Diceros bicornis minor: one gene and its partners. The protein of the gene in region 1 interacts with the protein of each later gene in a biochemical or structural test. Links are inferred from orthologs where the notes say so. Each region holds a gene or a part of one and is shown in the gene's direction. Other genes may lie near its edges.

Region 1 (10,811 bases):
CAAACCCACAGTATCTCCGAGGTATGCCTGTACGTGTTTATGCAACAAGAAGGTGGAAGGGAGGTGGTGTAGGAAGAGCAATTGTCGCAAAGCCTTGTCCCTCATTTACTAGTTTGCATTGTGACATTGCCCTGAACCAGTTGTAGGAGGCGAGGTTAGAAAGAAGGGGGCCTCTAGAGGTGGAATGGTGCTGATCTGGGGTTTGGGGTGTTGCCCAGTGAGAGAGGGAGGGGATGTAGGAGAGGAATAGAAAGAGACCACGTGAAAGAACCTCAGTGAGGATGGGTGGCCTTTAGTGTGCGGGCACCCCTGCATTCCCTTCCTTCTTCCCATTCCCCAGAGGATGGTTCCTGGAACCCCACAACAAGGAGCCCTCACACATGGCTGGCACTAGTAAATGGTATAGCCACTCCGGAAAACTCTTTGGCTGTTTCATATAAAGCTTATGCTTACCCTGTAACCCAATAATTCCATTCTTAGCTATTTACCCCAAATAAATGCAAACATATGTCTACCAGAAGACATATGTATATTCATAGAAGCTGTATTCATAAAAGCCAAAAACTGGGAACAACCCAAACGTTCAAGAGGAGAATGGATAAATTATAGTAGATTTGTACAATGGAATACAACTCAGCAATAAAAAGGAACAAAATACTTATACAAACATCAACATGAATGACTCTCACAAACGTTGAGTGAAGCAAGTCAGACACAAAAGAGTATATACTGTATGATTCCATTTATGTGAAGTTCTCAGGCGAAACATATTTAGTAGAGTGCGGTGGAGGGGGGGAGGGTGTTATTCACAGGAAAGGGTTGCAAGGTAGCTTTCTGGAATAATGAAAATGTTCTATATCTTGACTAGGATGCTGGTCACACAGGTGTATACTTAGCTAAAAATTCAACAAGCTGAATAATTAAAATCTGAGCATTTTATTATATGTAAATTATACAAGAAATTGGAAAAAGATCACCAGAGCAAACCTCAATAAGAAGGAAGGAAATAATGAAGAGAACAGAAATAGATGAAATAGGGAGGGAAAAACAACAGATTAACAAAATCAAAAGCAGAATCTTAATTTTTGTTAAGAGGAAAATTAAGAGGAAAAACAGATCTCTAGCAAGACTGATCAGTTAAAGATAGAAGATGCAAACAAATCAAATACAAAATTAAATTTGTAGTTTAATTTTGTAGTAAATCTAGTACAGATGCGGGCCGGCCCCGTGGCTTAGCGGTTAAGTGCGCGCGCTCCGCCGCTGGCAGCCCAGGTTCGGATCCCGGGCGCGCACCAACACACCGCTTCTCCGGCCATGCTGAGGCCACATCCCACATACATCAACTAGAAGGATGTGCAACTACGACATACAACTATCTACTGGGGCTTTGGGGGGGAAAAAAGGAGGATTGGCAACAGATGTTAGCTCAGAGCTGGTCTTCCTCAGCAAAAAGAGGAGGATTAGCATGGATGTTAGCTCAGGGCTGATCTTCCTCACAAAAAAAAAAATCTTAGCTAAATGTAGCCACTAGTATATTTAGCAAATATATTTTGATCAGATAGAGTTTGTCCCAGGAATGCAAAATTGGGTCAACAGAAAAGCAATGTATGTAGTTCCCTACTAACAGACCAAAAGTAAACAATCTCAACCACAGAAAAAGCATTTGATAAGGTTCAAGAATCTGTGAATTCATACTTATATATATAAATTAATGGATAAAAGAATAAATGGAGGAGAAAAGAAATATCTACTTTACAATAGAATGTCAACTAACTACGGAACAGTGATAGAGTTAGAAAATCTATGGATGCTAAAACTAGTGGTGACACTTTGATGAGGAACAGGATATTTACATAGATCCAAAGTATCTCTCCACGAAATGCATGTTAGTTAATTCGAAAAGGAAAAACATTAATGTGGAGAAACCTGGCAGACACCATCCTAATGAAGGGAACAAAGTGAAAATTATCCATATTAAAATCATGAGCCCCCTGATAGGATGAAACAAAGAGACAGCATATCCAAGATGCAGAACCTGAAGCTAACCATGAAGAAACATCAGACAATGCCAAACTGAGGGACAGTCTACAAAATTCCAGGCTTATATTCTTCAAAAGCATCAAGGTCATAAAGGTCAAGGGAAGATTGAAGAACTGTTCCAGACTGAAGGAGACATGCCATTTGAGTGTTCAGATGTCACCTCCTTAATGAAGCCTGCCCCAGCTACCCCGTTTAAAATTCCAAACCCTCCCCCACCACCTTGTGACCCCTTCCTTGCATTACTTTTCTCCATAACACTTCTCAACGTCTAACGTACTATATATTTTCTTACTTTTCTATATTGTTTGTCTCCTTCACTAGAATGAAAGCTCCACGAGGGAAGGGACGTCTGTCTGCCTTGCTCACCACTGTGTCACCAATGCCTAGAATAGGGTTTGGCGCGTAGCAGACCTTGCAAGCATGAATAAATACACACACCACAGCTGTTCAAATTACTCTCATCCTCAAGACTCCATTTTTAAAAAAGGCTAATATATAAAGAGTTCCTAAAAATCCATAAGAAATACAACAACCCATTAGATAATGGATAAAGGACACGAACAGAAAATCCCCAGAAAGCAAGAACTGTAATACCTTTAACTCTATGAAGAGATGCCCAAGCTTACTCCTAATAAGAGAAACGCAAATTATAATTACACCGGATTGGCAAACAACCTAAGTCTTGACAATCTGCTCATTGAGGCTGTGAACCAGCAAGCACTCTCATACATGGCTGGAAGCAATGCAAAATGGTACAACTCTTGCCCCCACCGTCCACCTCCCTCCGCTTTTCCTGCTTCCCTACCTCCACAGGCTTTTGCTCAAGCTGTTTCCTCCAACTGGAATGCCCTTCCCTCTCACTCAGTAAAGTCCAAAGCCGGCCTCAATTACTCCCAATGATCCATTTGAAGGCAACCAATTCTTCAGAGAAGAACTTGGCCACACCTATGGCTTCAGTTGTCACCTCTGATGGTCCCCAAATCTGTATCTCCAGCCCAGACCTCCCTCCACCTCCTGAATTTTAGACCCAGTCCCCAACTGTTTACTCAACTGACACATACCAGACCTTGGACATCTAACAGGCATCTCAAATGTAATACATCCAAAACCAAATTCCCGATTTTGCCCCACATCTGCTCCTCCTGAAGTATTTCCCATGTCAGTGGATGACAACTCCATTCTTCCAGGTGCTCAGGCTAAAAATCTGGGGGTCAACTAGGACTACTCTCTATTTTTCATGCCCCATATCTGATCTCTTGGCAAATCCTGGCTTCTTTACCTTCAAAATCAACCCAAAGTCTAAACCCCCCGTCACCACTTCCACTTTCACCACCTGGGTCTGATCCTCTCATCATTTCCTGGACTCTTGCAGTGGCCTTTCCACTGGTTTTTCTGCTTCCACCTTTCCCCTTACAGTTTGTTCTCTCTCCACACAGAGCAGCCAGATTGTTCATTCTAAAATATAATTTAAGAAGGAGGGGGATAAACCCAGCACCACCGTCCATACCAGCCGCACCATGTCCTCAGCCTGCACAGCCACGGAGGCCGCAGCAGCGGGAGTTCCAGGGTCTCCCTTCCCCGCTCTAGTAAGCTGGGTCCGGGGCCTCGGTGGTGCTCCCGATGTCCCTCACCCACCCCTGAAGATCCCAGGTGGGCGAGGGAATAGTCAGAGAGATCACAATCTTTCAGCTAATTTATTTTACTCTGATAATTGGCTGAATGTAACAGAGGAACTAACGTCTAACGACAAGACGAGAATCTTGAATGTCCAGACCAGGCTCAAGGCCGCCAAGCACATCAGCTGGAGAGTGGTGCTGCAGGGGGCTCCCTCGACGTTGAGATCCGGGGCGGGGCGCTGCCCGAGGGCAGCGAGGACAGCTTCGAGGTTCTTCCCGAGTTTGCCGAGGAGCAGCCCACGCTGACCGCGTCTTCATTTGCTTCCACAAGAGCCGTGATGACAGAGCCGCCTTGCTCCGTACCTTCAGCTTTCTGGGCTTTGAGATTGTGAGGCCAGGGCATCCCCTTGTCCCCAAGAGACCCGAAGCTTGCTTCATGGCCTACACCTTCGACAGAGTCCTCCGGCGCGGAGTAGTGGAGACCTGCGTCCTCGCACCTCACCGCCCGGAGCTCGATCAACCACAGTGCCCCCTGTCGCGCTGTGCCGCTCTGTGCCACACTGTGCGGGTGGCGTGACCAGCGCTGCGCTGGGTCGGGTGTGAGGCCTGCTCCTCTGCTGGGTGTGTCTGCGTGTTGTAATTGTGCAAATAAACGCTCACTCCAAATTAGCATATATTTCTTGAAGTTTAATGTTCTGTTTGTGATACTGAAGTATTTGCTTTAATTCTAAATAAAAGTTTATATTTTACTTTTTTATTGCTGGTTTAAGATGATTCAGATTACCCTCGTCTTTTGAGGGGGAGTTTCTTATCTGAAGTCTTTTGGAAACAGTCTTAGATCTCTTAACTTGGAAAGATAGGTAATAATCGGCCCTTCTAGTGCTCTCAAAAATCCGAATAAAAGCGATTACACCGCCAAAAAAATATATATATATAATATAATTTACATAATGTGACTCCCCTGCTTAAAATCCTTTTACGGCTTCCCACAGATCTTAGAATGAAAACCAAACGTCTCAGCCTGGCTTACAATGCCTTACTTGACATGGCCTCAGATCTCATCTCCCAGTGCTCTCCCTTCCTCACTCCTCTCCAACTACACAGACTTCTGTGCTCTTCCTCAAACCTGCCAAGAACTTCCAACCTCAAGGCTTTGCACCTGATGTTCCCTCTGTCTGGAATGCTTTCCCCACTCCACGCGTGGCTCGCTTCCTCACTTTTCACATGCCTCCTCCTCAGAGAGGCATTCGCTGACTACTTTACATGGGGAATCAGGAGAGGTCTCTCTGAGGTGAGGCAAAGGATACAGAAGAAGGAAAAGACCTGAGGGAAGAGTGTTCTAGAGTACTGCAAGGATAGTTTCCTTGCTATGTTCTTTGCTATGCTCCCAGTCCCCTGCACTTAGTAGACACTCAATAAATCTTTTTCAAATGAACAGCTTTGGAGGTTGTTGACAGGATATGAGATACAGAATTTGGGATAAGGTGACAAAGGCATTTTGTGTTAAACACCTTTGCTCAAACATCACCTTCTCAGCGAGGCCTTCCTTGACCACACTATCTAAAAATGCAACCTGTCCCCACAGATTTCCCCTTACCTTGTTCTATTTTTCTCCATAGCGTTTGACAGTTATCGCATATATACAATACATATTTACGTATATATTTAATCATATATTCACATATGAATATAGAATATACACAGTGTATTTAATAAGACATTTATTATATACAGATGTAAATTATTTACATATTGACACTAGCTATCATGTTATGTAAACTATGTAGTGTTTATATGTACATTTTGTTTTATATAATTTATATTATAGAGTCACATATATTATAATACATATGTATATGTGAAACTACAATCTTTAGTTATTTGTTGTATTTATGGTCTGTCTCTCTCGCTAGAATGTCAGCTCCGTGAGGGAAAGGAAGAATCCCTAGCACCGGTCCCACAGCTTGAGCTCCACAAATGTCAAATAAATGAACTCCTTTGGCCTTCTAAGCCTCAGCCTTGCCATCTGTAGGATGGGTGTGCCTTTCCATCTGGAGGTACCCACCATGTTCCGCTCCCTTTTCCTATCCCTCCAGAGCTCAGCTCCTGGAATTCCACAGTCCAGGTTTACATTTTCCTATACCCTGGGCGCTGATGCCCACCACGTGCACCAGGCACTGGTCAGACAGGACTACCGCCCCCAGCATGCCTCGCGCGTTTGGGAAGTACCACAACCTGTAGGGGTGTCTGGGTCTGACATGGGCGCTGACGGCGCGGGAGCAGGGGCGGGCTCCCCTCTAGCTTAGCATCTGTGGTACATCCCAAACCGGGGCCCTCCAAGGCCCCGCGCTTCCGAGCTCCGCGCAAACTCTGGCGCTTCTTGTACGACGGAGGTGGTTTTCTCTTCCGTTGCCCCGTGGCTTCGGCTCATCTCCAGCAGGAAGGCGAGGCTTCCGCCCGGCGCAGGGGGTGAGCTGGAGCGCGGTGCCCCCAAACCCCTGGACAGCATTTGAGGGAGGGGGCTCAATTTCGGGGATTCCCTAATGGCCATATTTGGAGGCTCTGGGCCTGGGGTGGCATTTAGGGGTGGCTATTTTTGAGGGTACCCTTAGGAAGTGGTGTTTGGGGTCTCTGGGGTGGGATTTGGGAATCTGTTTTAGGAGATACCTCGGAGGCAGCGTTTATATACCCCTCGGAAGCAGAGTTTATACCCCTAGGAGACAGGGTTTAGGGGGATGTTCGGAGAGACCCTTAGGGTCCGTGTGTGAGTACTTTGTCCATGGGGCAGGATTCGAGATGCTCCCCAAGGGGAGAGGTGAAGTTTGGGGTTCCTGAAGCCAAGATGGAATTTTGAGAGCGCTTGTTTCATGAAAGGTCCTGGTGACAGTGGGAACGTTCAGGACCGACGTGGCATTGTGGAGGTATCTGTGGCCTTTGTGACCTCAGGTTCAGTGACGAGGTCCCCCCGCGCTTGGGTACTTGGGGCGGGAAGACTGGACACGTCTGGGCCCACACGTTTCTAGGGAGAGGAGCCGCCGGCCCAGGCTGTGGAAGGGACGCCGGAGCCCAATGTGCTAGGCTCGTCCCTAGGGGACCGGGTGCCACCCGGCCTTCTTGGGCCGCGGCTTTATTCATTATTCATGAGGAGGTGGGGCTGTTGAGGAAGCCTATTTTTGCCTCTTTCGCACCTGGTCCGCTGGAAGTGTCGGCTTGTGAATTATTCACGAGGGGGCGGATCAGCATGCTGAAAGGGTGTGCTGAGGGGCGTTCTGCATTCTGCCAGGCAAACTAGAGCTCACTGATTAATCGTAAAGGTGAGTAGCGCCCCGAGCTTTCTGTGGCTTTTCCAGGGGTGTTGTGCGTAATTCATGAGAGGTGTAGCTTTTACAGCTTCATCTGCGTGATCCGCTGTTAGTCTTCCCCTGTGGGTTCCAGGATTTAAGCCTTGCGTCTAGCAAAGGATTGAGGCCTCGTGTATTGTTCATTCCTTATGGCCCAGTAATCCCAGATTATCAACAAAGGCTCTAGATTCAAATCCCATTTATCCTTCCCAGCTGCGTGATCTTTGGCAAATCCTTCTGTGAGCCTTAAAAATGGGTATGGGCATAATGATAATCAGATTAGTTTTCACTCATTTAGCACTTTATTAGCCCATTTAATCCCCACAACAATCCTAGGAGGTAGGTTATTATTACCCATTTTATAGATGAGGAAACTGGGACACCAGGCGGCTAAATAATTTGCCTAAGGTTACTCACAGTCAGTGAGTCAGTCTAGTTCCAGAGTCTGTAGTCTTTTTAATTTTTTAATTTATTTTTGCTGAGGAAGATTCGCCCTGAGCTAACTCGGTGCCAGTCTTCCTCTGTTTTTTTATTTATGAGTCGCTGCCACAGCGTGGCTGAGGAGTGGTGTAGGTCCGTGCTGGTGATCCCAACCCGAGAACCAGGCCGCCGAAGCCGAATGCGCGGAATTTAAGCGCTACACCACAGGGCCCGCCCCCAGAGTCTGTAGTCTTAATCAAATGCCATAATGCCCCCTCCTCCCAATTTAATGGTACTACTACTAAAGTTAGTCATATAGCACTATTAGAACAGGCACTGTTCTAAGCCCTTTCTACATATTTACTCGTTTAAACTCCATCACAAGGTAAGTTACTATTGTTCTCAATTTATGGGTGGGGAAACAGTGGCCCAGAGAAGTGAAATGTCTGGCTCCAGGTCACACAGCTAGTCATCCGTGGATGGAAATGATTTTTGTGAGGGTTTAAGAACTCTCTAAGGAGATCACCTTTGAGCTGAGACCTGAAGGAAAAGAAGGAACCCATTTCCTGTTCTGCATTCCTGAGGTCAGTGGCACAATGCATGTAAAGGACACACTACAGGAGCCACGACATAGTGGTGTTAGCGATCTATTAATGTGATCTATTATTATTATTCGACAGAAATGTATTGGGCGCTTACTGTGTGCCTTGGGCTTTGATATACAGTTGTATCTCTGGTGACATGGTAGTCTACCCTACCTGTTTAATGGCCATTGGTGGCCTTAGCATTCTGTTTTCCAGTATCCTTCTGGGATGGTGTTTCAAGGCATTACTTTTAAAATAATGCCCCAAGTTGGGGGTTTCTCTAGGGGCTGGGTATACCCGCACCTATAACTAATTTTATATTAATATAAATATATATTTACATATTACCTTTATAGTAATATATAATACTTAAAAAATTTAACAGTGCCTTGTGCCAGCACTGCTCTGAGCTCATTCCATAATTCACATTCTCTGATTTTCATAACACATTTTGCCTTTACAAGGTGGATGAGTTCAATTACTATACCCATTTTACGGTTGTGGAAACAGAGGCACCTGCCAAAGGCATGTAGTGAGTCTGGATTTGGTTGGACCAAGGCAGCCTTGGTTCATGTGCAGTTAGTCAGAGGTGGGGAGGAGGCAGCTGCACTTCCCCTGGGTTTCCCCTGTGGCTCTGCAGCATCGTCTTTCATTTTTCATGAACAGGAAGGCGTGGCCATGTTGCCTTGGCTGGAGTACCATAATCCCTACTTGCTGGGCAGGGCTGCCTTGAGTGTTTCTGTCCATCCAGCCTGGTGCATAATTCATATTAACTGGGTGGGACCTTGCTTAACCTCTTTGAGTTTCCAGGTTGAGCTGCGGCAACAGTATTATTCATTATTCATGAGCCAGGGGAGTATTTTCCCTGTAGTAGCCCTATTTCCCTGCTTAGAGGGTATGAGATGCAGCAATAGGTGGACCTATCCCTTTTTTTCCAGCCCACCGAGACTTATGCATTATTCATGATAAGTGGCCTTGGTCTCCTTGGCTTCCCTGCTGCTGCAAGATTATTCATTATTTATGAGCAGTTGGGCGTGGCTTCTATGTTTTAACCTTGGCTTTCTGGTTTCGGGGTGTTAGTCTAGCAACCACCCGGCCTCATGCATAATTCATGATTAGGAATTGTGGTCTTGATGTCCTTTCTTGGTTTCCATGGCAGCTTGGCTGCAACAGTGTATTCATTATTCACGTTCCATGGGGCGTGGCCTTACGTTGTTTTATCTGTTTTCCTAGTTGCCGCTGTAGTAGCCACCAGGTGGAGCTATTCTTCTTTGAATGAGTCACAGACAGGGAGGGACCATCATACATGATTCATGAATGGGCGCGGCCTGCCTGCATCCGGGTTTCTGGGGGTGGGGCCCAAGGTTTTGTTCCGGCCCCGGGCTCAGCGGCCGCCATCTTGTGTGGCGGTGGAGGTGAAGGAGGTGGCAGGGACGAGCGCAGCCACTACGGTCGGGGGAGGAGAAGGCGGCGGAGGCGGAGGCGGCGGAGGCGGCGGAGATTCTAGGCAGCCCAGGAGGCGGGGAGGAGGAGAAGGAGGAGGGTGGCGGCCGGGCTTGGCTTCGGCTCCTAGAGGAGTTGGCGGCGGCGCGACCCGGGGAACCGGCATTGGTAACAAATGGCCTTTCTTAACGCCTTGGCCAGGGCAGGGATTTCGGGAAGCTTTGGAGGGTCCTGGGCCGGCGCTGGACCAGGCTGATGTTGGGGCGGGCCGTGGTGACTTGGACTAGGGGATCGGTGGGGGGGTGGGGAGGCAGATCTTGGGGCGGGGCCGACACTTCCCATCCGGGACCAACCTAGTCTCTCGGAAATCTGACCTTGTGGTCAGACCCCCCAGGGTCTGCTTTCAGAGACTCAGGCCCAATATCCCTAGTCAGGGACCTGACCCTGTCCTGAACCTTATATTGCAGATCAGTACTTTCCCCAGTCACTGATAGAGACTTATGGGATCGACATTTCTGGTCAAAGCCCCCCACCAATGTATGCCGTTAAAGACCTTCCCCAGACTCTCCCTTCAGACACCCCCAGTCCTTCAGTAGTTGCCCTCGCAGCTTCCAAGCGGGGCCAGACCCCCGGGAGAGTCCATGCTGTCTTCATTTCTGAAAGAGAGTCTATTCTGGCATCTTTTTTCACACACACTATCTGCCCTCAGAGCGTCCAAGGGGAGTAAACCCTGTGAAAGGCCATTTGGGCCTGGCCTCCTTGTCAGAGACCCCTTCTCCACATTTCTGAGGTCTCCCAGCCCCACCCTGGTCCTAGCATCTTCCATCAAAAATGCCTCTGGGCCCAGCGTTTCTATATAGAGGGCCTCCTCAGCATTTACCTTTAGAGACGCCTTTAATTCCTAGAATCTGTCCTTAGAGACTTCTTCTGTTTTAAGGGAATGCCCCCTTTTTCATGGTCCCAGTATTCTCTTCAGAGACTACCTTTTGCAGGTCTCAGTATCTTCCCCATCAGATACCCCTAACCCCCAGTATCTCCCCTCAGAGCCTCCCAGGGGACCAGATACCAGGGAGGAACAGTTTGGACACATAATACTCCATCAGAGATCCCCCTGCCAGCATCTGCCCTTGCAGACTCTGTTGGCTCCTAGCCTCCTCCATCAGAGACTCACCTCTCAAACCCCACCCTTCACTCAATGTCTGCCTTCAAAAGCCAGCCATGGTTCCAGCTTCTCTCACAGATCCCTTAACCTCATATCAAGTCTCAGAATCTGCCCTCAGAGCCTTTCAAGGTCCCAGCATCTTCAGTCAGAGGCCCTCAGCTTCTGTTTTCACCTTTGTAGGACTCCAACATTGTTGTCAGATGTC
Region 2 (9,862 bases), on another chromosome or scaffold:
CCCCTGCCCTGCCTCTATTTAAAATTGCAACCCCCTTTAATTACCTTCATTAGTACTCACCAAAACTTGCGATGATACTATTTGTCTACTAATTACTTGTTTTTGTCTGTTTCTGTCCCAGCCACTAGAATGTAAGCTCCATGAGGGCAGGATCCAATCATTTCTGTCTCATTCATTACTGTATCCTTGGCATTTAGCACAGGGCCTGTCACATAGCAGGCACTCAATAAATATTTGTTGAATGGATGAATGGCTCCTTGTTTTTTTTTTTTTAAAGATTTTATTTATTTATTTATTTTTCCCCCCAAAGCCCCAGTAGATAGTTGTATGTCATAGCTGCACATCCTTGTAGTTGCTGTATGTGGGACTCGGCCTCAGCATGGCCAGAGAAGCGGTGCGTTGGTGCACACCCGGGATCCGAACCCGGGTCACCAGCAGTGGAGCACGCTCACTTAACCACTAAGCCACGGGGCTGGCCCTGAATGGCTCCTTCTTAAGAGCACCTCAAGAGGCTGGGAGAAAGGTGTAAACAAATAATTGCAGTACAATATAGCACTGGGGGGGATATGATATGTACAGATTGTTGTGGGCACATTACACTAGGAACATTATAGCATGGTGGTTAAGAGCGGTCACACTAAAGTGGGATGTCCAAGGTTTAACTTCTGTCATTTACTCACTGGGTGACCTTGGGTAACTTTCTTAACCTCTCTAAGCCTTATTATACTTAGTAAAATAGATACTCTGGTAATGACCATGTCATGGATTTTTGTGAGAATTAAATAGGATACTGCATGTAAAGAGCCTGTCACATACTGATGCACAGCAAATGTTAGCTATTAATGTTAAAGGAAGATTATGACTCCTTAAGAGCACTATTCAAGCCCTACATGTGTTAACACGTGCAGAATGAAAAAAATGTTGGCCCCTTAAAAAGAGTCATTCTATAAGGTCAGAATTAACCTTTTAAAGTAAATACCCATCCCTCATTTATTTTACCAAGATTTCCATATCTTTTCTGTTTGGAAGAAAAGTAATTGATTCTTCAGAAAAGCCCTGTTTGGAGAGTACCAGGTGATGCCAGAGACTGAAGGTAAAGGTCCTGTTTTCTTTACCACCAGAGGGCACCAATCAGTCAAGTCAATCTCTACCTGTCATTATGAAACAATATGGGAAAGCTCTAGGAAGCTGTTTCTGCCATTCATTCTTTTGATAAATATGTTTTGAGTACCTACTGGTATGTGCCAAACATTGTAGTAGCTCGTATATGGTTATGAACAGGACTTATTGTATTTATGGAATTATAACCTTGAGCACCTACTATGTGTCTGAGAGATCCTGTTAGACATTGGGGTGGAGGATGGGATTCAATTTGTGATTTTGTTGTTGTTGTTACTGATTGTCTTCCTGCCCTTGGCTGTGAGCCCATAAGAACAATTACTTAGTGTCTACTTTGTGTCAGACAATATGCTGGTTGCTGAGGATCCAGGGATGAATAAGACACAGTTGCAACTTACTAATAAACAATGTTTCACCTGCTAGGATAAAAGGTATGAGACAAGTTCTGTGGAATTCTAGTTCCTCAGATCTGATAATGGAGAGCCTTAAGTATACAACTAATTAACACACTAGGCTGTGAGAACTCCCAGACAGGTATATGCTTATTAGCCACCCACCTTAGGGCCATGGCCATTGTGGATATTTAGAATGAGTTCGTGAGTTGATTTGAGCCCAGGCAGCAGCTTCGGATCTGGGTGCCAGATGTATGTTCCAGTGGATTAGGCTAGGGATCTACCATCTTCTGAGTTAGGCTGGGGCTGTGATGAGTTTATGTGGGTGAAATGCTTTGAAGATGAACTTTCTGCCTATTTGTCTACTCACAGCCTTGTTATTAAAGGTGTCAACATCATCTCCCACATTTCCAGGTCAGCAATCTTCTTATCCCTAAATTGAGTGGTGGAGGAGGGGAAGTCAGAACCAGTCATACACCATCATTTTGGGAGGAGAGGCTGCATTGATTAAGACACTCCTCCTCCTCTGAAGTGAGCTCTAATTCCAGTGGAGTTTGGTCTCAAGACCAAGAGAGTAGAATTGGGAACTAGGGAATGATTCTTTAAAACATTGAGACCTCATCTCTGAGAAAAAATAACAACAAAAAGATGAAGGGGCTCCTTCAGTGTGGATTGTGCATAGTGACTTCTTCTAAAGAGTACAGTATAAAAAGGAGGTAAAAAGAGTAACTTTACAGTGGAGAAATCTGACACACTACCTCAGCCAGGTGACTGAGGTCAATAGCGACACTGATAAGTTATGTTGATATTATGTGCCCTTGTGATGTGATGAAAATTTCATTTTACTGCTGTGATCTTCCCCTCAAAAACCTATAACCCCAATTGAATCATGAGAAAAACATCACAAATCCTAATTAAGGGACGTCCTACAACATACTTGACTAGTACTCTTTTTTTTTTGTTTTGTTTTTGCTGAGGAAGATTCACCCTGAGCTAACATCTATTGCCAATCTTCCTCTTTTTGCTTGAGGAAGATTCGCCCTGAGCTAGCATCCATGCCAACCTTCCCCTATTTTGTATGTGGGTTGCCACCACAGCATGGCTGCTGATGAGTGGTGTAGGTCCGTTCCTGGGAACTGAACCAGGCTGCTGAAGCAGAGCGCACCAAACCCAACCATTAGGCTATGGAGCCAGCTCCACTGACTAGCACTCTTCAAAACTGTCAAAGTCATCAAAGACAAGGAAAGTCTAAGAAACTGCCACAGTCGAGAGGAGCCTAACAAAACATGAAAACTAAATATAGTGTGGTATCCAGAAAGGGATCCTGGAACAGAAAAAGGACAGTAGGTAAAAACTAAGGAAATGTGAGTAAAGACTGTAGCTAATAATAATATATCAATATTGGTCCATTAATTGTAATAAATATACTGTACTAGGGTAAGATGTTAAAATAGAGAAAACTGGGTGCCAGGTATATGGGAACTCTCTGTACTATCTTCTCAATTTTTCTATAAATCTAAAACTGTTGTAAAAAAAAAAAAAAAAGTCCTACACACCTGAAGCTGGTGCTCTGTCTCTCTGATGTGGGAAGGAAGAAAGCACTAGAGAGGCATTAAAGTCACGCCAGGGCCCAATGGAGACTTTCTTGGTGAAGCATCAGAGAGACAGAGGGAATCCATCTTGTATGTGGGATTCCATCATGTGGACGCTGATTCAGGTACCACACAACATCTTAACCACCTTCAATGGGCACCCGCCACTCTTTGGGGAGACACCATTTTGAAATATATTCTCTCTTTTTTGTGTGTGTGTGAGGAAGGTCAGCCCTGAGCTAACATCCACTGCCAATCCTCCTCATTTTTTTTCCCCTTTTCCCCACCAAAGCCCCAGTAGATAGTTGTATGTCATAGTTGCACATCCTGCTAGCTGCTGTACGTGGGACTCACCTCAGCATGGCCTGACAAGCGGTGCGTCGTGCGCGCCCGGGATCCGAACCCAGGCCGCCAGTAGCGGAGCGCACGCACTTAACCGCTAAGCCACGGGGCCGGCCCTGAAATAAATTCTCAATTCAACGTTTAAAAAAAAAAGTCTATTAAAAAAGTGGAGGGGATAGTATCTAGAATACAGCCATGCCTGTAAAATTTTTTTCTTTCTTTAAAGTTCCTATTTATGGATCACTGACCATGTGCCAGTCATTGTGATAAACATTGTATATAGAGGATCTCATTTAATCTTTACAATTGCTTGTTAGGTATAATTAACCCTCTTTTATAGAAGCTGATGAAAAAGGAAGAGGTAATGTAATGTAAATAGTGGAGCCAGGGTTGGAACTAAGGATCTTACTGATTCCCAAAATTCTAAGTGTGGAACTCTCACAGTATTCTGGCTTTTCTAGGAAATGTTTAGGCAGTTATCATAGGACGTGCCTTCCTAAGAGAAAGGGGTATTTTTTTTTTTTTTTTACTTTTTGTGAGGAAGCCTGAGCTAACATCCATGATAATCCTCTTTTTTTGCTGAGGAAGACCGGCTCTGAGCTAACATCTATTGCCAATCCTCCTCCTTTTTTTTCCCCGAAGCCCCAGTAGACAGTTGTATGTCATAGTTGCACATCCTTCTAGTTGCTGTATGTGGGACGCAGCCTGAGCATGGCCCACACAGAGGGCCCGGGATCCGAACCTGGGCCACCAGTAGCGGAGCGCGCGCACTTAACCACTAAGCCACGGGCCAGCTGGAGAAAGGGGTATTTTATAATTTTATTTATTTATTTTTTCCCCCAAAGCCCCAGTAGATAGTTGTATGTCATAGTTGCACATCCTTCTAGTTGCTGTATGCGGGACTCAGCCTCAGCATGGCCGGAGAAGCAGTGCGTCAGCACGCGCCGGGGATCCGAACCCGGGGCCGCCAGCAGCAGAGTGCGAGCACTTAACCGCTGAGCCACGGGTTGGCCAGAAAAAGGGGTACTTTAAGTCATGCGAGTGAAGACTGTTGCCACATCTCACTTCAGTCATGATTATCTTAAAAGTCCCTCAGTTCCAGGTTGGACTTTCAAGCTGAAAGGATCTGTAGAGGGTCAAAGTTAAACCACAGTACTTCATTTTACAAATGGGCAAACTGAGGGATAGCCAGAGCACTTGCCCCAAATCACACAGAAAAGGGCGAGGAACCCAGGCTCAGTCTGTATTATTATTTCTCTATTTCCCACAACTTCCTCTTTGCAGTAAAGAAGGGAAGTAGAGGCTGGTCCATCTGCCTTCCCCATTTCTCAGATGGGAAACTGCCCTCCACCCCATCCCCCTAAGAGGGTGACACGCTGCCCTCCAAGGACGCACTGGCGAGAGGGCCGAACCTGAGGAAAGATGCCGGGACGCTTGTTCCCACCGATAAGACCCACATTCTCAGCACATCCTTGTTAAGCACCTACTAAGTGCAGGGAGGCGGACTGTGTGTCACGAGGAGGGCCTGCAAGGGACTGGGGCTCGTGGAGGATGCCTGCGGAAGCCTGTAGATGCACACGGTGAGTGAGGGGACCGCTGACAACTCTAGGACCAGACGTCCCTTCCCGGCCCGGTTTTGGGAACCAAGGCGTCGAACTGCACAACCGTCATTTGCGGCCAAGGGCATCCCTTGCGTCCACCCTCGGCCCCCAGAGACGCTTGGCCCTTTAAGGGCGGGGGACACGCGCCGGCGTCACAAAGCGCCGCCACCGCGCGGGGCGGCGGAGTGGAGGCGGGGAGGGAGGAGGAGGAGGAGGGCGAGGAGGGCGGGGGAGGGCGAGGAGGGCGGAGGAGGGAGGGGCGCGCACGCGCACGCGCGTCGGCCCCCGCCGCCGAGAGCCGCCCTCCCTCCCTCCGTGCCGGCGCGCGCCCCTCCTCCCTCTCGCCCTCCCTCCTGCTTCTTCTCAGCTCCGTCGCTCCCGCGGCGCGAGGCGCTCTCGCTCCTCTCCTCCTCCTCCGCCGTCGCCCCTCCCCCCGCGCAGCCGCCACCACCGCCGCGAGACCCCCGCGCGCAGCGCTCCCCCGCCCTTCGGCCCCGCGCGCCCTTCGGCCCCGGCGGCACCCGAGGAGAACCAGAGGGCGAGCGAGCGCGGCGCCCCGGGCCGGCCCAGCCCCCTCCCCTCACCATCGCCGGCCCTCCGCCGCCGTCCTCCGCCTCCACCTCCTCTCCCCCCCCCCAGGGTTGAGGCCCCCTCCCGGGGGGGGGAGGCTCGGGACCCGGAGCGGATTCGCCCTACTCCCTCAGCCCCTCCCCCGCCCGGCCCGAGTGTGAGGAGGGGGGCCCGGCCCGGCCCGGCCCGCGTCGAGGGTGAGGAGGACCTGGGCCGGCCCACGGGCCGTCTGGGCCTGGTCCGGCCCGCCGGGCGTGTGAAGACAGGGGCGCGGGGCGGCCCGGCCGAGGGCGAGCGGAGGGGAGGGGCCTGGTCCGGCCCGGCCGGTGCGTGAGGACTGGGGCCGGCCCGGCGCCGCCGCCGCCGCCGCCGCGATGGCCCAGCAGCAGATGACCAGCTCGCAGAAGGCCCTGATGCTCGAGCTGAAGTCCCTGCAGGAGGAGCCGGTGGAGGGCTTCCGGATCACCCTGGTGGACGAGTCCGACCTCTACAACTGGGAGGTGGCCATCTTCGGACCCCCGAACACCCTCTACGAAGGCGGCTACTTCAAGGTACCCCCACGCCCTCCCGGCCCAGGCTTCCACCGAGGCCCCGCTCCCCCCGCTCTCGGCAGTTTTCGGGCCGAGGGGGAGCGCGAGTGGGGGGGCTCGCCTCGGCAGCCCCCTCACCCGTCCGCGGAGGCAGGAAGGCCTGGCTCACCGGGGCCTTTTCTTTGTCAGGGGGGCGGGGGCGGGAGGCCAGACGGCCCCGGGAACGAGGAAAGCCTCTGGGGCGAGGGCAGCGGCTCCCAGAGGAGGAGGAGGAGGGCTGTCTTTGTTTGTTTCCCCAGCTGGGGGTGTGCGGGGAGAGAGGTGGTCGGTCTGTCCTCTCGCGTCCCCCACGAGAACCATCCCTGCGCCGGCTGGAACTGCCCCAGAGGGCAGAGTGACCTGCACTTACTGGATTGGGTCTTTCTTTTTTGGGGGGGTGGGGGTGGGGGAGGGGTACTGGGCTGTCATTCCAGAGGCCGCCTAGTGACCTGACATTTTGAGGGTTTGATGGGCTTCTGGCGTGGTGGCGGTTCCAAGTTTGCATTCCAGTGGGCGGCAAGGAAGACTAGGACCCTGGGGCTGGCGAACAAGGGGGCCTGCGTTTTCCTGCCCTGATCCACTGGAGGGACCGTCATTTGATTTAGCCCTCCTTCTGTCCCCGTTCTCTGTTTACTTCAGTGGTGTTTCAAAATGCCCTTTGTCCTCACCCTGCCACCAACTTTACTGCCTTTTTTTTTTTTTCTGTACGTGTAGAAATATCCACAGAGGGTGGAACATGGTATGTAGGGAGATTGGTAGTTTCCCACTTTAGGGAGATAAAATTGAAACCTTTTGCTCAGGTGGTTAACTCGAGCAGATGGGGTGGTCTCACAGATGGAAAGTATCATCGGCGGTGAGGCGGTTTCACTGAGTAGGACGGCTCCTAAGACAGCGACCATAGACATTGTTTCTGTTGTTTTTCATAATTTTACAGCAGTGGTTATTACCATTCCTAAATCCAGTGACTTTTTTGTTGTTGTTGTTCCAAGGTAGATAACTTGGAGACATTGAGGATTTTGTTTTTGTTTTTATTTTACCATTTTTGAAGGGACGAATCACAGATTGAAGGTTGAATGTTTTAAATGGTAGTGGTGGGGGCAGAGACTTAGGAAACGGGTGCTTAAGAATCCATTTAATTTAATTTTTTTATTTCCAAAATTAAGCGAAGTAGAGCAGTGAGTCAGTCTTAGTTTGTTTTGAAGGGAGGGGCTATCTCGGCAAAAGTTTTAAATGAATATCTTAGTCATGTAGTTATGATGTGTATTTTTAGGACTACCCAATTACTTTGGTTTTCCACCCTCCTAAAGGTAGAAGCCTCAGTTTCAGGCTTGAAATTGGGTCAGCTTTGTGGAAAATGTGAAGAATTGATAGGGGAATGTTTAATATTCACGCCAGAGATAGTCACTGAATACCTAGTAAAAGCATGTTTTTAGAATATTGTGTAAGAGTATGCTTACACTGTCTGCTTCATCTTTTGTGGTCTCCATACACTGTACTTTTCAGATGCAGGTGTTTAAAGTCACTAAGGAAGCGTACAAGTTATTAGTGACAAATTGGAGAAGGTATTCCTGTGTCCATGTTGAGGAACGTTTTCTTGTGAAGTATAAATTTTCATTTATAGATACTGGAAAAATTAGTTGCACAAAATGGAATTTATGTAATAACTTTTCTAGCAAAGCATTATTTAGCATAATATACTGGGTAACTTGAGTGAAATCAAGTTTAATTTCCAAAAAGTATTGTTTGGGACAATCGATAGTCAAGGTAAACGGGTACCAGTTAGAATAATCTCACTCCAATGCATTTTGTTAAAAACAAAACAAAACAAAAACTGTATGTAAAAGAAAATAATACGTTGCAAATTGTAATATTTTTGCTTAAATAACTGGGAAAGGAGTGTGGAGAACCCTCAGTTTGGAATAGGTAGTATGGAAGGAAGATTCCCTGTAGCATACATGATTTAAATTAAATGGTTTTTTTTTTTTTTATAATTTTATTTATTTTTCCCCCAAAGCCCCAGTAGATAGTTGTATGTCATAGTTGCACATCCTTCTAGTTGCTAAATTAAATGGTTTTTAATTTCAGTCCTATTTAAAAAGAATAATCTCCAGTTTTGTTGTATGTGTTAGATTTCTTAATCTTTGAGTGTTTTTACCTTTGTGACTTGTAAAAAAAAAATGTGTGAAAATTCTTAAACAGGTTTTATGTTTTAGTCTTGTGAGAAAATTTTGTTCAATTTCACTTTCTCCTACTTTTTTCCTTATTGTATGGCCTTTATCCCAAAGGTCCTTCACTGGAAAAAGGCAAATATATAGTCATGAGCAGTTAACACTGGTGATAGGTTTAAAACCATTGTTTTTTATTTCACTGCTTTTGTTTTAAAACAAGGCTTTTAGTGTGTTCCACTACAGCTGCAGTTAAAAGTTGGCACAGACCTTTCTCTACCACTGTTTATTCTCTCTTATCAAATGATAGTCCTCGAACATTTAGTGTAATTTATTTTCAAGTTAAACTCTTCTTTATTTTGCGTAATAGTTTCTGAAGGCAGCGGGACTGCCAGTCATTCTTTAAATTTTTTTTATTGTAACTCCTTTAACTTTTACGTATTAATAGACTTCTAACTGATCTTTTTCACCATGAAATAGTTGGCTCCAGTCTGTTTTATCTATGGCATCTGTTGTGGTAGAGACTTGTGCGACCTGTATTTCACATTTTTTTTTTTTTTTGAGGAAGATCAGCCCTGAGCTAACATCCATGCCAATCCTCCTCTTTTTGCTGAGGAAGACCGGCCCTGAGCTAACATCTATTGCCAGTCTTCCTCCTTTTCTTTTTTTTCCCTTTTTCTCCCCAAAGCCCCGGTAGATAGTTGTATGTCATAGTTGCACATCCTTCTAGTTGCTGTATGTGGGACACGGCCTCAGCATGGCCGCACAAGCAGTACATCGGTGTGCGCCCGGGATCCAAACCCCGGGCCTCCAGTAGTGGAGTGCGCGCACTTAACCGCTAAGCCACGGGGCCGGCCCCCACAAATGTTTTTTTTGATTCATCCTGCTTTTGTTTTTTAAATATCTCAAATCCATGTGATTCTTAGTGTTGGTCGGGGGGTGATATGGATGTAGGATAGGCTAAGGTAGTTTCTTGAGTTTTTTTCTGCGTATTGTAAACTTTTTTTTTGGCCTTGTTATCTTTTTGTCCAGTTTCTTGATCTTACTGACTTACCAACTGAATTTCTTTGCTACTTTGAATTTTTCCTCTAGGGGTCAATCATTACAAAATACAAAGTAGGAGAGGGCTTAGAACACCAAGAACACCTCTGAACTTAATTTGCTACTGTGGAGCAAGTTGGAATTTTATGTTACTGGAAGAATTGTTGATCAAGTCAGCAGTTAATGATGACTTTTTACAAGTTCACCCCCATTCCTTTAAAAAGAACTATCTTTTCAGATAACTCCTGATAATGATCATAACTTAGCGTGACTGCTTTGATATAGAACCTCCTTGGAAGTCCTGCATTATTTATCTGAAAGCGTAATAGCAGTGAGTCTAGAGATCAGAAAGTGATCTCTTTCTGATGTGCCTAACATAAAAGTTTAAACAATACAGAAAACTTAAAGGATCGCAGTTCACTTTTTGCAGTTTTGATTTTATTCAATAATCTGATTGAGGGAATGAAATAT
Region 3 (10,504 bases), on another chromosome or scaffold:
GACGTGTTTTTTTGCACTTGTATGTAAAGTTTGGTGCCTCTTGCCAAAACCACACAGCCCCTTTGGGGTCCCAGAATCATGGGCTCTGTCTACTACATTCTGTGCAAGTTCAAGTTCTTTGAAGGGCAGACCTGCTTCCTCTACTTTTTCAGTTTTATTTTCTGGGATTCCCAACACCTAGACAATTTCACTACTTGCTACTTCTTCATTTTTCTCTCTTAGTGTCTTCACTCTTATTGTTCCCTTTACCTGGATGACCTTCCTCCCTCACCCTTATGACTGCCTGACTATTCTTTAAGATGCACGTCCTCCAAGAGCCTTGCTTGCATTATCCCCCCAATGGATGTGCTCTTGGACCTACTTTGACTTCCTGTTGCACAATGGTTAAGAGTATAGTTTCAGTCCCCATTCCATGACCTATCCATGACCTTGGGCAAGTGGCTCCATATTTCTGAGCTTGTTTTGTCATCTATAAAATGGAGATGATACAGACCAATCACTTAGGGTTGGCAGAATTACGAGAGAGTGCAGTGAAGCACCCAGCACAATGCCTGGTGCGTGGCACGTGGCACGGGCTCGGTAAACGTTCGTCACTATTACCAGCAGACTTGCCCAATTCTAGACCCACCGTTTGTAATAAACCCGCAACCCGCACTCTCATTACCACTGGATATTATCTCTCATTTTAATCTTTCCAGTCTGATAAGTGGAGGGAAAATGTTTTTGTTGTTTTACTTTGCTTTTAATTCTCTATTGGTGAGGATAAGCATCATTTCATTCATTCAGAATCTATCTGTATTTCTTCTGTAAAGTGCCTGTTATATCTTTTGCCCATTTTTCTGTCATTCAAAAGGCATTATTCAAATTTTTATTTTCCTTTTTATCTTTTTTGAATTATAGAAATCATATATAAACTCATTCTTGTAAAAAAATTCAAACAATACACAGAAGCCAATAGGGAACAAAACAAAGTTCCCCTTCACCCTTGACCCTGACTCTCCTCCCCTAGAGGTCACCAACGACAACAGTGGTGGCATCCGTCAGTCCCCTCCCTATGCACTTCTGTGTGTGTGTCCATCCTTTGTCCTTTAGTGATATTTTATGTTACTGAGATCATACTATATATATTGTTCTCTGATTTTATTTTTTTCACCCAAACTTCATTCATTCATTGAACAAATACTTATCGAGTGCTGAGCCTCCTCAAAGTGCTAGAGATAAAGGAGTGAACAAAGCAGACACACAAACTCCGTGTCGTCACGGAGCTTACTTGTACTGCAGGGCAAACTGTGGCCTCTAGGCCAAATCCAACCTGCAGCCTATTTTTGTCCAACTCAGGGTTTTTAGATTTTTAAAGGGTGATGTAAAAAAAAAAAGAAAGAAAAATACGTGACAGAGATGTGTGTGGCCGGAAAAGCCTAAAATATTTACTAACTGGCCCTTTACAGAAAAAGTGTGCTGACCACTATAAATCTAGTGCATAATATCCTTGAGGGCCGGCCCCGTGGCTTAGCGGTTAAGTGCTCGCACTCCGCTGCTGGCAGCCTGGGTTCGGATCCCGGGCACGCACCGACGCACTGCTTCTCCGGCCATGCTGAGGCCACATCCCACATACAGCAACTAGAAGGATGTGCAACTGTGACATACAACTATCTACTGGGGCTTTGGGGGAAAAATAAATAAGTAAAATTATAAAAAATATATATATATCCTTGAGATTTGTCCATGTTATTAAATTAAATTGTCTCCCTCATTTTATGTTTAACAGCTATATAGAATTCATACAAGAGATATTCCATAATTTATTTCATCGCTCCCCTATTAATGGATATTTAAGTTTTTTCCAACAGGTTTGCTATTATAAACAGTGCTGCACCAAACATCCTTGTGTTTGAGTGATTCTAAAGGATAAATCCCTGGAAATGGGATTGCTGGATCAGAAATTTTAAAACTTTGACTGATACTTATATTACTTGGGAAATAAAATGATTATTTAAACTCAAAGAGTAGTAACCGTATAGCCCAGATTTCCCAACTCGGCCTATTTTATAAAACCTACCTTTATTAAGCACTTATTATGTGTCAGATACTATATTTAGCACTTTTTAACCACTATCTCATTTATTTTTAACAACAACCCTGTAAGATAAGTATTAATCCTCTCTGTTTTACAAATGAAGAAACTGAGTCTCAAGGAAATTATTGCCCAGGTTTACACCGTCAATAAGTGGCAGAGGGGGCCGGCCCAGTGGCACAAGTGGTTAAGCGCGCACGCTCCGCTGTGGCAGCCCGGTGGCCCAGGGTTCGCAGGTTCGGATCCCGGGCGCACACCGACACACTGCTTGTCAAGCCATGCTGTGGCGGCGTCCCATATAAAGTGGAGGAAGATGGGCACGGATATTAGCCCAGGGCCAGTCTTCCTCAGCAAAAAGAGGAGGGTTGGCAGATGTTAGCTCAGGGCTGATCTTCCTCACAAAAAAATAAAATAAAATAAGTGGCAGAAACTGGAATTTAAACCTTGTTTGTCTAATTCCAAAGCCAGGTTCTTAACCGTGATGCTATACCACATCCCCCCAGATCATGAAGTGTCCTGATTTTTGTTTTAGAAAATACGGTCACTATAATAATCACATGTGTTGTAAGCTACCGCAGACCATTATTTCAAAGAGGGGTAGAGCTCTAAAATAAGAGTCACCAGTCTGACCAGTTGCCAGAGATGCTGTGTTTCGAGAAAAGAAGGGGGTGGGGATTAGAGGTGTACTAAACCTCTGGGAATTGGGTCCCATACCCTGGCCTCTTGGGCTCGGCTCCACTAGCTCTGAAGAGGTTGGTGAGCCCACTACAGCCACCAGGCTAGGACAAGGTCTTGTTGGTCAGAACTGCTCAAGGGCCAAGAGTATGCTCTGGGACCAAATGAGAAAAGCCCCTTGCGCCAAACTAATGCCTGTCTGTGACTTCATCCCTCACAGTATGCAGCTGACCCCCAGGACAAGCACTGGCTGGCTGAGCAGCATCACATGCGGGCAACAGGGGGGAAGATGGTAAGCATTGTTCGCACGTGCCACTGCCAAAGACCCATCCAGCCCAGGGACCAGGGTTCTGGCTATTGGTGGCAGCTTACCTCCAAATCTGAGAGACTCTCAAAGCTCTCCAGGATGAATGTGGACAGGGAGACTTGTATGGTTAGAGAGGGCCCATTCCTTCATGCTGAAGAGCAGGCTGTAATCCCTGGATTCCCTTCCCTGTCCCTAGGTCTCCCACACAGCACCCCCTCGCCCTACCACGTCATCCCTCCTATTTAGATTGTATTAGCTTTGCATAAGAATGACAGGTACAAAACACACTTAACACTACTTTTCTCTTGTGTGCCATTAACAGATTTCACTCATAGGTCATAACACTCTTCCACCAGACACAGCTATAGAGTCTTTTCTCAACACAGTACTCCAGGCGGCACCCCTCATCCATAGGGGTTAATACATGCAATGAAACTTGTTTGCCACATTTGGCAGCAGCTTCCAGAATCACCTCTACTTAAAGAGTTCTCAGCTCATATCAAGCAACAACCCTAGGAAAATCATTGTTGCATGTGTTCTAAAACTGTTGTGGAGGGCTTTGTCCATCACATGCGGTGTCCCCCAGCTGAGGACTCAACTTAGTGCCACCGCTGGGACTGTTAAAAATTCAGTGGCCTTGCAAACCAGTATGCCCTCTCCTTTCTGGCAGGGAAAGCTATCTTTTATTTTACTACTCTACTTATGCCTACACTCTTTGTTTGAAAAAAGATTTCAGGGAACTTACCATTGATACAGAAAATACAACATAATATAAATAAGAAATAGGGGGAAAAAGGAAAGGCAGGATCTAAAATTAAGCCACAAACAAGACTAGTTTTAAAAAAGTGTTTTTCTAATTGCTGACCTGGGAGACGAGTGTACTTCTATGGGTTCACACAAATTCAGCTCCAGGACCCTCTCAGGGACACCTGATCTGTTACATAGTTCACAATGCCCGTAAGATGAAGACAGTCAGATTACTCAAGGGACACACAATTATTCCTGACCCTAAAACTAGACAGAAGTGTCTTCCACAGAAGACTTGCTCATGTGAGGAACAACATCCCCCGTATGGTAAGCTCACAAGAGGGCTCTCTCCCACTGCAGATCATGGCATTGTGTCAAAGCCATTCTGCAGACCCCAGGCAATACAGCCTAGTTAGTAGACAGCCGTGCAGTTTATCACGTTTTCCCTTTTGCCACAAAGTTCAAAACCAAATCATCTTAGCTCCTAGAGTTAACATATGGCTTCCTCCTCCTGATTTCCTGTTTCCATGTATATTTTGCTAGCTCTCTTGCCATTTTATTTTAAGCTACTTCAGGGTCCTTTTTCAGAAGAGGAGGAGGCTGTAAATAATTTAGTCACCAGTCCCCACTCCCCCACCAATAAAGTTTCTATTTGAGTGAAAGATTGTCTCAGGGAACAATTCCCCAGTCTCCCTACTAACTCTCCCCTACTAAATTGTAACTATGCCCACCTCCCTTCCAGCCCTTAGAGTAAGCAGATGTTTAATAAAATGTTATTAAGTTGAACTGAAATGAATCACAGGCAATGACTACTCTCCTTTGCTCCTGCCCCAGGCCTACCTCCTCATTGAGGAGGACATCCGGGACCTCGCTGCCAGCGATGACTACAGGTAAAACCAGTGATCTGTCTGCTACCTTTCCCCCTGCCTCACAGTAGTCCCTGGGATGAGCCTGGGCCTATATCCTCCTTTGCTGCAACTTTCTTCCTCATTTCTGTTCCAGAGGATGTTTGGACCTAAAGTTAGAGGAGCTGAAATCCTTTGTCCTACCCTCCTGGATGGTTGAGAAGATGCGAAAGTACATGGAGACACTACGGACAGAGAATGAGCATCGTGCTGTTGAAGCACCTCCACAGACCTGAAGCCATGTCCCCTGGCTACATTTGGCAGCCTTCCTCTGAAGCCCTCTTACCCACGTGGCTGAGGCCACCACTGGGATGGATCTCAGCAGCATTAAGCTGTGCCTGGGCTAGTTTGTAGTGACTCACTGCAGAGCGCTCCCAGACTGGCATGTAGTTCTACATTTGTAAAGTTATTGGGATAGGAAGCAATTAAAGAGTTTGTAATAAACACAGATGGTGAGCCTGCTGTGCCGTCTGCCTTGTAGGGGCTGACAAAACATCAAGGGTTCTAGAAGAGGTGGATATAGGAAACCAGGACCATGTGCCCCTCCCCCATCCCAGGGTAGACCCAGGAAAGTCCCTCTGCCCCGTGCACATCTGCTTCATGAGACAAAGGTGGGAACACCATGTACCTTGCCAACCTTCCCTGTCCCTCTTTCTCATTTCCTTCCATACCCAACTAAGGTATGGAAGTAGCAGAATGTGCGTGCTGGCACCATAGGGGGTTGATGACAGACCATATGAAAAATGTGGAGAGGCTTTTATTACCCCCATTTTACAGGTTAAAACACTAAATGATGTTCCTAAGGCCACAGCAAACCGTTGGAGAGGCAGCACATGGACCTGTTTTCTAATAGGGAGTCTCCCGCTCTGGCCATCAGCCTCTAGTTTTTCCCCTCGCATGAATTTTCAGACACTTAGGGCCCTAATAAAGATGTTCAAGATCTTATAACGGGGGGGGGGGGGGGGGGGGGGCGGGGTTTCCGGTTTGAGGAAAGGGTACCAGTGCTGGGCGATTCCCCTGCGAGTAGGGATCCTGTCTGGGCGTGCCTCGTGTTCCCGGCAGTTCTGAGGCGTTTGACCTAAAGGGGCTCATCCCACGTGGACTTTTTCTTGGCCCTTTAATGGTTGGCGTTTTCCAAAGGCCACCAATCTGCTACAGACGCATTAGTTAATGGCGGCCTCATCTGCCAATCGCCCCTCAGAAGCAAGATTCCGCCGTCCAATAGTGATGCGCCGGTGGGTGGGTGGGTCTAGCAGTTGCGTGGTGACAGAGCGCTGCGGCGCGCCCCATTGGCTGGATCAAACCCAAGCGGGCCGCTGATTGGCCCGCGCTGCCGGAGAGTTACAATTCAAACGCGGGCGGCCGGGTCCGCAGCCCTGCAGTTGCAGCGGTGTTCTCCGAGTTCCTGTCTCCCCGCCAGCGCCGCGCGGATGGCCTCCCAGAACCGCGACCCAGCCGCCGCCAGCGTCGCCGCCGCCCGTAAAGGAGCCGAGCCCAGTGGGGGCGCCGCCCGTGGCCCTGTGGGCAAAAGGTGAGTGATGCAGGGGTCACAGCCTCCGGGCCTGGCACGACCTGAGCAGTGGGGCCCAGAGCGAAGACTTCCGGGACCCCCACCTCCTCCTGGAGCGGGTGAGATCTGGGAGGTGGGGGGACACGCCAAGCGCTTGGGCCGCTCTTAGAGACCCTGCCAAGGAGGACGGAAGGGGTAGTCATGCTGCCAGGATCCTCCTCGGGTGAGCCAACATGAAGATGCGCCGGGGACCCTCGGTGGCTTGGCGGGGGCCAGAGGAGAGGGAAAATTGAGATCCGGCACGGAGACAGACGCCAGAGGAGCAGTAGGGGTTAACAACACGCCAGAACCGTCCGGCGGGAGCCTGGAATCAGGGAGGGTGAGGACTCAATAAAATCCTCCTATGGAAATGGCCATGAGGAGTCCCCAGCTGAATCTGACCTCTCAGGGTAGAGAAATGTCCCCATGACAACTGCTCCAGAGAGACTGGGGTGGGAGGAGATGCATCCCCCGAAGCCTTGGCCCATCCAGACTCCCAGGTGACCCCAAATGCTCTTTTTGCAGGCTACAGCAGGAGCTGATGACTCTCATGGTGAGTGACTACCTGCCCAGATCCCCAAGTAGTTGGTCCACCCTCCCACCTTCCACTCACTTATCAGTAGCCTCCTTTCCTACGTCAGGCTCTTTGCCAGACATGGGGGTAAAAAGATGAGTCCAGTTTGCTCTTTTCTGGGTTGAAGTTAATATACCTCACCTACACCTTTTCTTCCAGCAGCCTCTACTCCCAATCCCATCCCCCCACAGTGAAGTTTTCTCCAATACAGTTCCCAGAAGCCATACAGGCCTCCCCGCTGTCCTGCCCTGGCCCTACTTCCCTGCCCTAAGATTTACCCACACCCAACTCTCCACCCTTCTTAGTATTTCTAGTCCTGTCATATCTTGGAATGACTCCTTCCTAGATGACCTTTTCTACATTAACCCTGAATATTCAACTCAAGTTGAATGCCCATATTGTATATCTCTCTAGTCTGTGAATAGTGTCTGGGCTTTGTACATAACGGGCACTCAATAGCATGCTGAATTGAATTCCCAGCAACCAACAAGATTATGGGTACATGATCCCAGTACTCCCCCCCAGAGGCACATGTACAGCCCCAAGAGTCTAACCACATCCTCAGAGAAGCCTACCAATTTGGTCTGGTTGCTTTATTTTGAATCAAAAAGTGATGAGATTAAGGGGAAGGGGTTCACCCACTGACCCCCATTGCTGTTCTCCAAAGTGTACTCTGCAGCCCAGCAGGTGTTGTGTTTCCTCCCCAGATGTCTGGCGACAAAGGAATTTCTGCCTTCCCTGAATCAGACAACCTTTTCAAATGGGTGGGGACCATCCATGGAGCAGCTGGCACAGTAAGTGTAGTGTTGGTGACTTTGCTGGGTCTGGGGAGAGGTAGGAGGTGAGATCCAAGCGCTAGATCTGCTTCTGTCTTTAGCCTGGCAGGACGCTCCCCTGCGTCTGTTCTCCTGCTCTGAGCCAGTGGCCCTGGTCTCTCCCTCTGTACAGTAAGAAGGTGGATTTAAAGCAGGGCTCTCCATCTTAGATGCATAGAGGGGGCCAGACAGCACGGAAAAGAATGGAAGACCAGTGAGGACTTTGGCCAATGGGAGGGCACAAGTCTCAAGATGGCAGCTTCCCATTGCTGCACATCTGGTTTAAGATGAGTCAGAAATCTAGATCTACGTCTCCTAATTTTTACATGTTAGCAACTAATGATCTAACTGGACTAAAGCACAGCTGTGGTAGCCCTCAGGATGCTAATTTACAACCTTAGACCAGGGATCACTGATGTCCCCCAGATAAGAGAGAGAGCACCAGAACCAGTGTAAGACTTTGTCTTCTGTCAAGTCCCAGACAAACTTCAAGGTCCTGGCCAAGCCCCTTATGCGGGCTTGGGTTGGGATATGAGCCTCAGGGTGGGGAAGCTTACTCCCCGCCTCTACTTCCCCACCGCCAGGTATACGAAGACCTGAGGTATAAGCTCTCCCTGGAGTTCCCCAGTGGCTACCCTTACAACGCGCCCACCGTGAAGTTCCTCACACCCTGCTACCACCCCAACGTGGACACCCAGGGTAACATCTGCCTGGACATCCTGAAGGACAAGTGGTCTGCCCTGTATGACGTCAGGACCATCCTGCTCTCCATCCAGAGCCTGCTAGGAGGTGACTTCTGAGACCAGCCCCTCCCCTGCAACCTAGGAACCTGTCAGGACTCCCGGGGCCAGCCTCTTCTACCCCCTGACCATTCTCTTTTTCTCCCCACCCACAGAACCCAACATTGATAGCCCTTTGAACACACATGCTGCTGAGCTCTGGAAAAACCCCACAGGTGGGTCCTTTGTCCTTCTCGGGCACAGGGTGATCCCTCCCCAGTCTTCAAGGCTCCCTCAAACAAAAGGATTCCAGTGACTTGGGAATGTGTCCTGAGGACTGGGTCTGGAGGGGGCTCGGGGTTGGGTGTCAAGCCACATAACCCAGTTCTTCCTCTGCCCTGGTGATTCTGGTTTGCCTGTGTGCTATAAAATCAGAAAATTATCCCTAATGTGGAAAACATTAAGGTAGGTTGAGGGGCTTTTTAAGCAGAAGGCAGCCTTGTGCAAATGACTTGCTACTAAGTCTCCCCAGTCTCACTGGCAGCAGGGCCCATCCAGGAGACCTGACCGAGTGGGCAGCAGAGGGGGAATCTGTTGTGCTGGGAACACCCCTCAGATTCCCCCCACCTGTGCATCCCTGGTCAAGCTGCCCTCTTGCCCACCTTAACTCCTGTCCCCAACGCTCACCAAGACCTGCCTGTTCTCTTCCAGCCTTTAAGAAGTACCTGCAAGAAACCTATTCAAAGCAGGTCTCCAGCCAAGAGCCCTGACCCGGGCTGCCCAGCCTCTCCTTGTGCTGTCTTTTTATTTTTTCCGTAGATGGTCTGTCTGTGCTTTCCTTGATTTCTCATAGGACTCTGTATCTTAAGCTGTGGTGTCATTTTTGTTTTGTTTCTGTTTTTTAAGTTAAGTCTCTGGTCGAGCCCTCGTGATGAATATATTAAATAAATACATTTTGTTTTTGTTTTTGTTTTTACAAATTGCCGCCTTGTAGTTACCCTAGGGTTGGAAGTGCTCAGGGTGGGCAGAGGTCAGGCTTAGCATCTGGGCTCTTGCCCTGCTCCTGTCTCCAGGGAGTAGAAGCAGCTGATAGGCTGTAGGGCCAAGCCAGTGGGGTGACTAGGATTTGTTCCCTTGTGATCTTACTTATTTTATGACTCTGCATCTGTTTCCTTGTCCATAAGATGGGTGTGACAATAATGCCTGTTTCTGTGGAGTTGTGACATGCACCAGGAATGTTAGAGAATATTGGAGCTGCCCCAGCTGTGTTGCAGATGAGGCTGAACCAGACCCTAGGCTGAAACCGCTATTGCTGTGGAAAGGGTGTGTGTGTGTGTGTTGGAGGAGGTTGGGAGGGGAGGACCAGCCACCCTTCTGACAGTAGATGTTCTGGCCCTGAAGGAGGACAAAGAAGGCACAGGTCACCCTGCACAGGCCCAGGGTCTGGGGTGACAACAGGAAAGCCCCTTCCTTGTCGGAGCCCTCAGGACTGAGCTCTCAACTCGCCCCTCATCCCAGGTCCCCCACAGATGGCTCCACACTCCAAGGGGGGTACATTCACCTGCTCCATCTCCACCAGCAGTGCCTCCAGTTGCTGCACCCACTGGCCCAGGCCCCCAGCCCCTGAAGCCATCTTTCCACTGGCCCCGACCTTTGGGCCCCTGGGAAGAAACCCTGTGCTGACCAACTGTGTCCCAGCTGGGGGAAGAGCAGGCTGAGGTGATGGGCTCGGCTCAGGTCCTGCAGGAAGACCTCCAAGGTGGACAAACAGCACCCAGGTGTGCGAGGAGGAGGTTAACTACTGTTATCAACAGCCTGGTGAGCAATGTGGTGGCCTGAGTTATGACCCTGAGTGGGCACGGAGAGGAGGGATGAAATGGTAAGGAGATGGGAAGAAAGCAGCAGGGCATGGTAGTAAATTAGAGTCGGAAAATGAGCCCCAGAATTCCTGACTTGGGCCCCGCCCCTCAGGGTACCATCTCTGAGATAAGTACACAGGAGAACAAAGATGGAGGGGAGGGGAGTTATCAGTTTAGGGCAGAGCTAGTTTGAAGCACTCAGGACGTCCAGGTAGAACTGTCAACAGGTGGATGGTTTCATGGTTAAGAGCCTTGTTCCTGTCTCCACCACAAAGCAATA

The links.
Region 2: of the proteins of UBA1 (region 1) and UBE2R2, one has a biochemical effect on the other in vitro, tested with the Homo sapiens proteins (5 studies listed by BioGRID, with this or other methods). The link is inferred for Diceros bicornis minor from reciprocal best matches to the Homo sapiens genes UBA1 and UBE2R2.
Region 3: of the proteins of UBA1 (region 1) and UBE2C, one has a biochemical effect on the other in vitro, tested with the Homo sapiens proteins (5 studies listed by BioGRID, with this or other methods). The link is inferred for Diceros bicornis minor from reciprocal best matches to the Homo sapiens genes UBA1 and UBE2C.

The regions. Positions count from the first base shown.
Region 1 is NC_080781.1:40,991,065-41,001,875, forward strand, and holds the start of UBA1 (ubiquitin-like modifier-activating enzyme 1), read left to right. Parts: upstream 1-6,027; 5' UTR 6,028-6,125; intron 6,126-9,441; exon of another isoform or gene 9,442-9,612; intron 9,613-10,811. UniProt on the Homo sapiens protein: Catalyzes the first step in ubiquitin conjugation to mark cellular proteins for degradation through the ubiquitin-proteasome system.
Region 2 is NC_080761.1:53,485,396-53,495,257, forward strand, and holds the start of UBE2R2 (ubiquitin-conjugating enzyme E2 R2), read left to right. Parts: upstream 1-5,451; 5' UTR 5,452-5,990; coding exon 5,991-6,167; intron 6,168-9,862. UniProt on the Homo sapiens protein: E2 ubiquitin-conjugating enzyme that accepts ubiquitin from an E1 ubiquitin-activating protein, and catalyzes its covalent attachment to other proteins by an E3 ubiquitin-protein ligase complex.
Region 3 is NC_080758.1:15,530,297-15,540,800, reverse strand, and holds UBE2C (ubiquitin-conjugating enzyme E2 C), read left to right. Parts: upstream 1-6,093; 5' UTR 6,094-6,138; coding exon 6,139-6,239; intron 6,240-6,782; coding exon 6,783-6,810; intron 6,811-7,538; coding exon 7,539-7,625; coding exon of another isoform or gene 7,626-7,634; intron 7,635-8,083; coding exon of another isoform or gene 8,084-8,181; intron 8,182-8,230; coding exon 8,231-8,435; intron 8,436-8,497; coding exon of another isoform or gene 8,498-8,541; coding exon 8,542-8,601; intron 8,602-9,076; coding exon 9,077-9,135; 3' UTR 9,136-9,329; downstream 9,330-10,504. Other genes in the region: DNTTIP1 (deoxynucleotidyltransferase terminal-interacting protein 1), read left to right, coding at 2,970-3,041, 4,638-4,693, 4,806-4,944. UniProt on the Homo sapiens protein: Accepts ubiquitin from the E1 complex and catalyzes its covalent attachment to other proteins. In vitro catalyzes 'Lys-11'- and 'Lys-48'-linked polyubiquitination.